Linked DNA regions of Neurospora crassa OR74A. The protein of the gene in region 2 interacts with the protein of the main gene of each other region in a pairwise test. Links are inferred from orthologs where the notes say so. Each region holds a gene or a part of one and is shown on either strand. Other genes may lie near its edges.

Region 1 (3,638 bases), on a different chromosome or scaffold from region 2:
ACGACATCTCTGAAGTTGGTTTCGACCTCCTGTCGCAATACGAGTCCATTGGCCAAGACCTCAAGATGCTGCAGCAAGCCTGGGAGGATGGCAAGGCTGCCCTAGCATCGGGAATCGACCGCAACGAGAAACGTATTTCGTCTATGAGCATGCTGTACTCGCCTGCTACCTCTCTAAGCGGGTTGACCACTGTCGGCGAAGAGAACGAAACCGGCGGCGGAGCGGAGGATGCGCTGAAAGCGCTCACCGGGGAGACGTCTCCCACACGAAACTCCTCGCCAAGTCCCAACGAGCCGGATGTGTTTGAGGCGGTTGCGCTATCGGCTCGGCCCAGGAGTATGCTGACCAGGGAAGAGAGATTGGTGAAAATGAAAGAGGAGAGAGAGATGAGGGCAATGCAGAGAGAGAAGGCGGAAGCGAGTAGGGGCATGTTGAAGGAGTTGGAGATGGTGATTAATCTGAGGCCGAAGAGACATACAACCATGGGACCAGGCGGGGGAAACGGCAGGAGTGCGGCGCCGACGAGGATTTCTTTATGACGACAGACAAACTCTGCGGCATTCGCGCTGTCTTTCTTTCGGGTTTCTTTTCTTTGACCACTATAATCTTACATGGCATCAAGGCATTGCGCGCAGACAAAAGAGAGGGGCGAACAACAACGACGAGAAGGTCAGCTTGCCAGTTTTCTTGAAAAGCAACAACAGCAACAACAACAACAACTTTGGGTAGAATGGCGTTTTGACGGACATACAGACCATGGGAACATTTGAAAGCTGGGGCAGGCAAGCGAGCAATGTGGGACACAGAATTTAACGGCGTTTACACAGTTTATACAGACGATCTTGGGCGGGCATTCTGTAACAAATTCTTTTTTGAGTTGGGGGAGGGTGTAAGATAGGTGAAATAATGTAATAATCAAAATATATTGGAGAATGGAGGTAGAACAGAGTTCGCGCAGAAATGAGGGAGTCGAATAGTTGAAGTCATATCATCGGAACTTGAAGTGAGCAGCATACCTTTGGTTCGACATTGCCGTCGAGACACGATCCAAACAGAAAGAGGGGATTCAGGGCGACAGCTCCCACTGAAAACGCGAAGATTGCGCCTGAAAGCGGACTAACAGCGCTGGAGAACGGGACCGTGCACCGGGAGCTAGCCTGAAGCGGTAAATCAATTAAGCCTAACCCCGGCTCAGCGCGTTTAGCTGCCATTAGCAGGCGCGTCAAGTCGCGAAGTGGGTGTCCCGGCACCACCTGTGGTATTGGTGGTTCCTCTCTTTTTATCGTCCATTGCCTGCCTGTTGCAGCTTTTTGAACAAAACCATAACTCTTCCCAAATCCAAATCTTTTCTTCTCTCTTCTTTCTTCGTCAAACCACGAGCGCCTCTCTCTCCCGAAAGTGATACCCAGCGCGCGCATATTTTCTTCCCTCTTTGTCTTTTTTTCCCCCGTCGAGTTCGGTAATTCACATCCATCAGTATGTCGTCTCTGTCTGAGCGTGAAGCTGCCTGCTCGCTTGCTCGCTGGCCCGGCACTAGGAAGAAAAGCTGGAGAACTGGAGTGATGGGTTGCTGACTGGAGGACTACCACAACAACAGAAATGCTTGAAGCACGGTTGGAGCAGGCGTCGATCCTGAAGAAGGTATGTCATGTCCTCTTCCTGTCAAGTGCTGTCTGTTTCCTTTCCCAGCTAGAAGACCCCCACTAACTCTGTCATGATGATGACGATGATGTCCAGGTCGTCGACGCCATCAAGGACCTCGTGCAGGACTGCAACTTCGACTGCAACGACTCGGGCATCGCCCTGCAAGCCATGGACAACTCGCACGTCGCGCTCGTGTCCATGATGCTCAAGACGGAGACCTTCTCGCCCTTCCGGTGCGACCGCAACATTGCGCTCGGCGTCAACCTGACGTCGCTGACCAAGGTGCTCCGCGCCGCCCAGAACGAGGACATCCTGACGCTCAAGGCCGAGGACGCGCCCGACGTGCTCAACCTCGTCTTCGAATCTTCCGAAAACGACCGTATCTCCGAGTACGACCTCAAGCTCATGGACATTGACCAGGAGCACCTGGGCATTCCGGATACCGAGTACGCGGCCACCATCAGCATGCCGTCTTCTGAGTTTAAGCGCATCACCACCGACCTCATGGCCATGAGCGAGAGCGTCAACATTGAGGCGAGCAAGGACGGCGTCAAGTTTAGCTGCCAGGGCGACATTGGCAACGGCAGCATTACCCTCCGCCAGCACACCAACGTTGATAAGCCCAGCGAGAATATCGAGATTGAGTTGAGCGAGCCGGTTTCCCTCACGTTCTCGCTCAAGTACCTGGTCAACTTTTGCAAGGCGAGCGCGCTGTCGAGCACGGTCAAGATCTGCCTCTCCAACGAGGTGCCCCTTTTGGTCGAGTACAACATTTCGGCTAGCAGCTACTTGAGGTTCTATCTTGCGCCCAAGGTATGTCTTTGTTTGTCATTTTCTGGGTGGTTGTTTTCTGTCAGGCGTGATGCTAACTGGTTCTGATTCACAGATTGGCGACGAGGAGTAAACGCCCCATTTACCTCCAACAACCGAACCACATCTTTGTTACGAACACCACGAAACTATGCCTTCATGTATACCTCGAGTTGCTATAAAATCATGGGGAGGAGGAGAATTGCAAGTCATGTAGAAGATAAGGGGTGATGCAGTGATGAGAAGAAGAAAAGGGATATGAAGAAAAAGAAATCTGTGTTTTTGAAAGAGTCTGGCACTAGTACACTACACACAAATGTTTTAGAGGGCGTTTTGTTCTTTCTGCTGCGAAGATGAATGTTTAGGGGAGACGACGAGGTGTCAATGATTATTGCGATGGCCTCCAACAACACACCTTCACCAAGGAACCCGATGCTGTTGTCGTTTCCTTTTTTTTTTTTTTTTTTTTTTTTTTTTTTGTCTGATGGTTTCTAACATTGATATCGGCAAACTGTCCTCCCTGTATCACTATGGTAATCATCGCTTCTCGGGAGTTCAGCTTGGCGTTGAAAGTAGGTATCTCAGAAGTGGGTTCAATCACAAGTACACCAGTACTGACATCACCACTTCCCGTCAGTCGGCGTGTTTTCCAGAAATCTTCCACCCGACTGTTTTTTTTTTTTTTTTTTTTTTTTTTTTTTTTTTTTTTTTTTTTTTTTTTTTTTTTCATCCGATGAAGTTCCTGGTGTTCACCAGCTTCCCCACATTGTTCATTCAATGTATGTAACTTACCTACCCACCACCTGCGTGACGTCCCCTCCCGCCTACAACAGCCCAGGGCCCGGGGCGCGCCCAGCAGCTGAATGGACTCCGCATTCAAGTTGCCCCTAACCCGCCCTGCAGGAAACTTTTTGGCGGGGCATGGGTGGTTCCTGGGGAAAAAAAAAAGAGTCATTGACTGGCCGGCCCTGTGCCATGACCGTTAGCGGCGAATTTCTGGACCATTCGAGGACTCGAATCAAGATGTGGGCAAATGGGTGGCACGAGAGGGCGATATCGCAGTTTATTTGATTGATGATACTATTTCCAATTGATCGAATCTTTCGGCTATATACGGTCTTCTTCTTTCACCGCTGACTGACTGACTAGGTCTAGAGTCAGACTCACTTGGTGTGTCACAGTGT
Region 2 (4,368 bases):
GTCCAACTTGTGCAGAAATGCTTAGGTATATACTCACACAGTTACTCGAATCCACATGAACTCCATCGACCTTTAGGATGTAGAGAAAAAGACCGCTACTCCTTCCACTTCCAACCACTCTTTCCTTGCTTCTCAGTCATGGACTCAAACGAAGCCTTGATCTGCGCCCGGACCATATCCGGGTGCTTAGAAGCAAAGACCTCGATGATACCCAATTTGCTAACCATGGGCATCTCATGCATGAGCGCCTTGAGCTGTTCTTGCGCAGCGGCAGGGAGGGGTTGGTCCGACATCTTCTGTCGACCGGGAGGTCGACGCCCACCACCAACAACGCCACCTGGTGCTGTCGCTGAGGGAGCAGCAGTAGTGGCAGCAGCAACAATAGTTGAGGCGCCTGCAGTAGTGATAGCCTTGTTAGGAGGAGAGTTACCTGCTGTAGTACCCTTTGTAAGTGCCTGGAACGCATTGGTTGGTGCTTGAGAGCCACCAGCCTTGGCAGATTTCGAACTGGTGGTGGTAGCGGCAGAGGATGGATGGAGGAGTGAGGATGAGGATGATGAAGTAGTCTGAGCAGTGACGGATGCGGATGCGATCACACTAGATTTTTCGTTACCTGATGAGCTGGTCTTCGACTTCGAAGCCCAATAATCAGTCGAAAAGGGGTCAATGCTGGTTTCTTCGTCCAGGGACTCTGCAACCGACAAAAGGTCAGCATCATTCAAACAGCAATAATATCTCCAGAGGAACGTACCCAATATAATCTCCATCCGGCACTGGTACAGCTCTGGCTTCACTGTGCACCGCTTCTCATTCTCCCAGCATATGCCAGTGCTCTCTGGCTCCATACCGCCGGAAAAGACGAGACGCTGAGGGCCGACATCTTCGGAGTCATCCAAGAAGTCGTCCATGTCCTCATCCATCTCCAAGTCTTCCTCTTCATCATCCAGATCCTCCACATCTTCGCCTTCCTCGTCTTGCCACTCGGCCTCCGAATCATAGTCGTAGTCCAAGGGAAGGATGGTTCGTGAAGTTGGGTTTCTTGCGAGTTTATAGAGACTCTTGACGCCCGGAGGAAGACCACTGATTGTACCGACATACGGTGGCCGCACATCTTGGCTGAATTTGATGCACTTGACTGGTACCGCTTTCAATGCCTCCCGCGCATCTCTGAACTGAGTGTTCTCTGTGGTGAGGTCCATAGCCCTGCTTGAAGACTCTCCATAAATCTCCGTCATGATCTTGCGCACACTCGGATATGGGCGTCCGCGCCTCTGGGTCTTGAAAGGCAGCTGTAGAGCCTCCAAGGGGTCAAACTTTTCCGGTGTCTGGAACTCCGCCCGCTTTCCCTCGGTGTACTCGTCCAGTATCCGCGACTTGGCCTCTCTGGTCTCCTCGTCTACCTCGAAGGGGTTCTTGGCTAGCGTGACAAACTCCTTCACGTAAAAGGGCTTGAATAACCTCCGGTAGGCTTCATTCTCCTTGGCGAGACTCGGTGCATCCGTCATTTCGACATCTTTGCTTTCGACCTTGACGGCAACTGGCTTCTCTTTTGGTGTTGCTGGGTTGATTTTGAAGAGCGATGTGAGCTTCATCTGTCGGCCTCTCTTTTTGGCTTCCTCTTCCTCCTTCTCGCGTTTCTTGCGCTCCTTCTCTTCCTTCTCTTCCTGCTTTCGCTTCTTCTCCTCCTCCTTGCGTTTCAGTTCCTCTTCCTTCTCACGCTTCTTCCTCTCCTTTTCTTCGGCCTTTTGTTGCTTCTCTGCCTCCAGTTTCGCCTGTTCCGCTGCCCTTTTGGCCTTGGCCTCCTCTTTCTCCTTCTTCTTGGCAGCGTCAGCCTCGGCCTTGGCTGCCTTCTCCTCAGGGGTCAGCTTCTTCCTCTTGACGGCCGGTTCGCCTGTTGTCGACTTTGTCGTTGTCGACGCAGCCTTGGCGCCGGATGTCTGCTTCTGGGTAGAAGGCGTATTGGTTGTAGAAATCGTGAGAGGTGCGAGTCGTGGGGGCGATAGACTCGGGGATCGCGATAGACGGTCCAATGGGCTGCTGGCGTCGCTCAATGCAGGACTGGCTTTTCTGGCTCTGGGGGTTGCGGGCCCCGAAGATGGGGGCGGTGATGACCTAACATTTTCCTCTGTAGAGATTGGCGATTAGCTTCACTCGCGTCTGGGGCGTGGGCTGATGTCAGAACGCGGTACTTACTGTCGTCGAAAGAACTTGGGGGTGGAACCTCTTCCCGGAATTGGTCGTGTGACCTCTTGAGACAGGAGGAGTCCTCCTGTCCACTTGTGGTAGTTGTGAACAAAGGCATGGTGGTGTTGCCTTCCCCAGCAGTCCTACTTGGTTGTTTGGTTGACGCGTGCTATTCACGGTCCAAACCGACGCGATCTAGTCTGAAAATGGTCGATCGAAGTTGAGGGGTCCAAAGTTCAGAACAGACAAGGTCCAGGTCCCACAATTAGGCCAGTCGTACATGCGCTGGCGGTGTAAAAGCAATGAACCACTGCTGGTTACTCCCCGGCGTCGTAAAAGCGTTTGTTTGGCTGATGGGAACGGAACCAGCTGCTGAGAAGGCCGGGAAGGTCGAGATGTCGCCGTCGGTGGTTCTTCGGATGGTCCGTCGTTGGGTGAGTTGAAAGGCCTGAAACCGATTGGTGATTCTTGGGTTCTGCAGTGACTGGAGTGCCTGGTCCGCGGTTGCTGCCGCCTGAGCGGGACGCGTTTGGCGACACCCACCGTCGCGCCTTCCGTTCAATTTAGCCCAAGTGGATCCCTACCCGCGCCTTAAAGTGCCCCACTTCTAATCTACGAGAAGCGGAGCGTGATTTCGCGTCAGTTCTTGAGAGGGGTGTGTGGCTTTGCTGCTTTCATTCAATTAAAGTCGCTGTGGCTGGAACTACGGCAGATGTTCGAACAATCGATAACCGTGGATCAATGAGTTCAATGTAGGTACCAAGTCGGGTATGTTTCACTGGCATTGATTGCAGGTTCAGTGGTGAGTGGAGTGATCTTTGCTGCTGTTGTTCGATGCTTGGAAAGGGATTGGTGGACCATTGATATACCTGCCTGTTAGTGATCATGAACTTCCACGGTTGTTGTTCATGTACGACTTCGAAACCCTACAATGACTGACCTCGTGGATTTCATCTCAACTATCATTTGCCTGCAAAATGGCTGCCTGTCTTCAACTTTCAGGCAGTAGAGGTAGTACAGTCAATTTCCATCTCGGGCATCATGGCATCACTAATACCAGCCCTAACCCTGAACTCTTCCCATCCTGCGTGCAGGTTCAACTCAGTTCAGTTGCAAAGGCCAAGAAAAAGTGAACGTGGCAAGGTTTCACCTTAGGTAGATAGTCTCGTCGTGTGTGGCTTGACTTTAGGCGTGGTGCATTGAAGGCTGCCATGGGTTCCGTCCTGTGTCTTGTCCTTTCGTCATCCTCTTCCCAGCTTCCCGATTCTCCTATAACAGCGCGTGTTATGGGGCCAAGTTCTCCAAAGGGTGTGACCATAGCTCTACCTATAGCTGGCCTTATTATATGGCTGTAGGGACGGAACTACCGGCTTTGGCCCATTTAGAAACTTGGATCAGAGGCCGTTGGAAAACCAAGAAATTAGTAAACCGTTCTATTATACCATGACTTAATGAGCTTGTATGGTAAGCGTTAAGCGCTCCAAACAGGATCGGCAGTGTAGACGCCGTAAGGATGACAACTAAGTTGATGCTTGTCACATATCGCATAGTTGTTGTAGCGTGTATGTACGTCTCATCGGAAAATGTAAAACAAAAACCAGATCGCATTCAATGGTATCTCAAGGATGTGTGTGTGTGTGTGTGTGTGTGTCCCAAAGCAAAGTATTATTTTTCCGAATAACCCTATCCAAGCAATAATTGGCTACCATCGAACGACCTGTGGTGTTGTGCAGTGCATTCGAGACAGTGACCGTGCCCGTGCCTGACAACCTTTTCCCTTTGGAAAAAAAAAAAAGAAAAGATTTAAAAAGAAGAACAAAACGCAAACACCCATGCGCCTAGCTATGCATGTAGTTTCAGGCACAAATTCCCATGCTGTGTATCACAGGTTCCGGCTGTTTGGAAAGCCCAAAACCCGACGTAGTAAAAATCTCCTTCTTCGATCCGCTCCCGATTCTGCTTGCTTTAATCAGGGTTGGCGATGAACAAGCGACCGGACGAGTTGAATGTCATTGTCCTCTCATATGTCCTTTCGTCCACGCTTCCTCTCCTCTTGAGCTCCTCGGGGTTCTTAACACTCTTCTCGCGCGTCAGAGTGGCGTTGAGTAAGCTGTTGGTTGCCAGCTGTCGTTGTGGGTGGGCCTGGAGGTCAGGGACAGCATCTAGACGCTCGCTACTGCTCCC

The links.
Region 1: the proteins of cac-1 (region 2) and pcn interact in binary tests that used the Schizosaccharomyces pombe proteins (3 or more experiments, as listed by UniProt). The link is inferred for Neurospora crassa OR74A from reciprocal best matches to the Schizosaccharomyces pombe genes pcf1 and pcn1.

What each region holds. Positions count from the first base shown.
Region 1 is NC_026501.1:9,447,155-9,450,792, forward strand, and holds pcn (proliferating cell nuclear antigen), read left to right. Parts: upstream 1-1,240; 5' UTR 1,241-1,476; intron 1,477-1,597; 5' UTR 1,598-1,599; coding exon 1,600-1,641; intron 1,642-1,737; coding exon 1,738-2,457; intron 2,458-2,530; coding exon 2,531-2,548; 3' UTR 2,549-2,903; downstream 2,904-3,638. Other genes in the region: NCU09240 (hypothetical protein), read left to right, coding at 1-539.
Region 2 is NC_026505.1:5,173,143-5,177,510, forward strand, and holds the start of cac-1 (chromatin assembly-1 protein), read right to left. Parts: upstream 2,919-4,368; 5' UTR 2,303-2,918; coding exon 2,194-2,302; intron 2,126-2,193; coding exon 752-2,125; intron 692-751; coding exon 96-691; 3' UTR 1-95. Other genes in the region: NCU04199 (hypothetical protein), read right to left, coding at 4,150-4,368. UniProt on the Schizosaccharomyces pombe protein: Acts as a component of the histone chaperone complex chromatin assembly factor 1 (CAF-1), which assembles histone octamers onto DNA during replication and repair.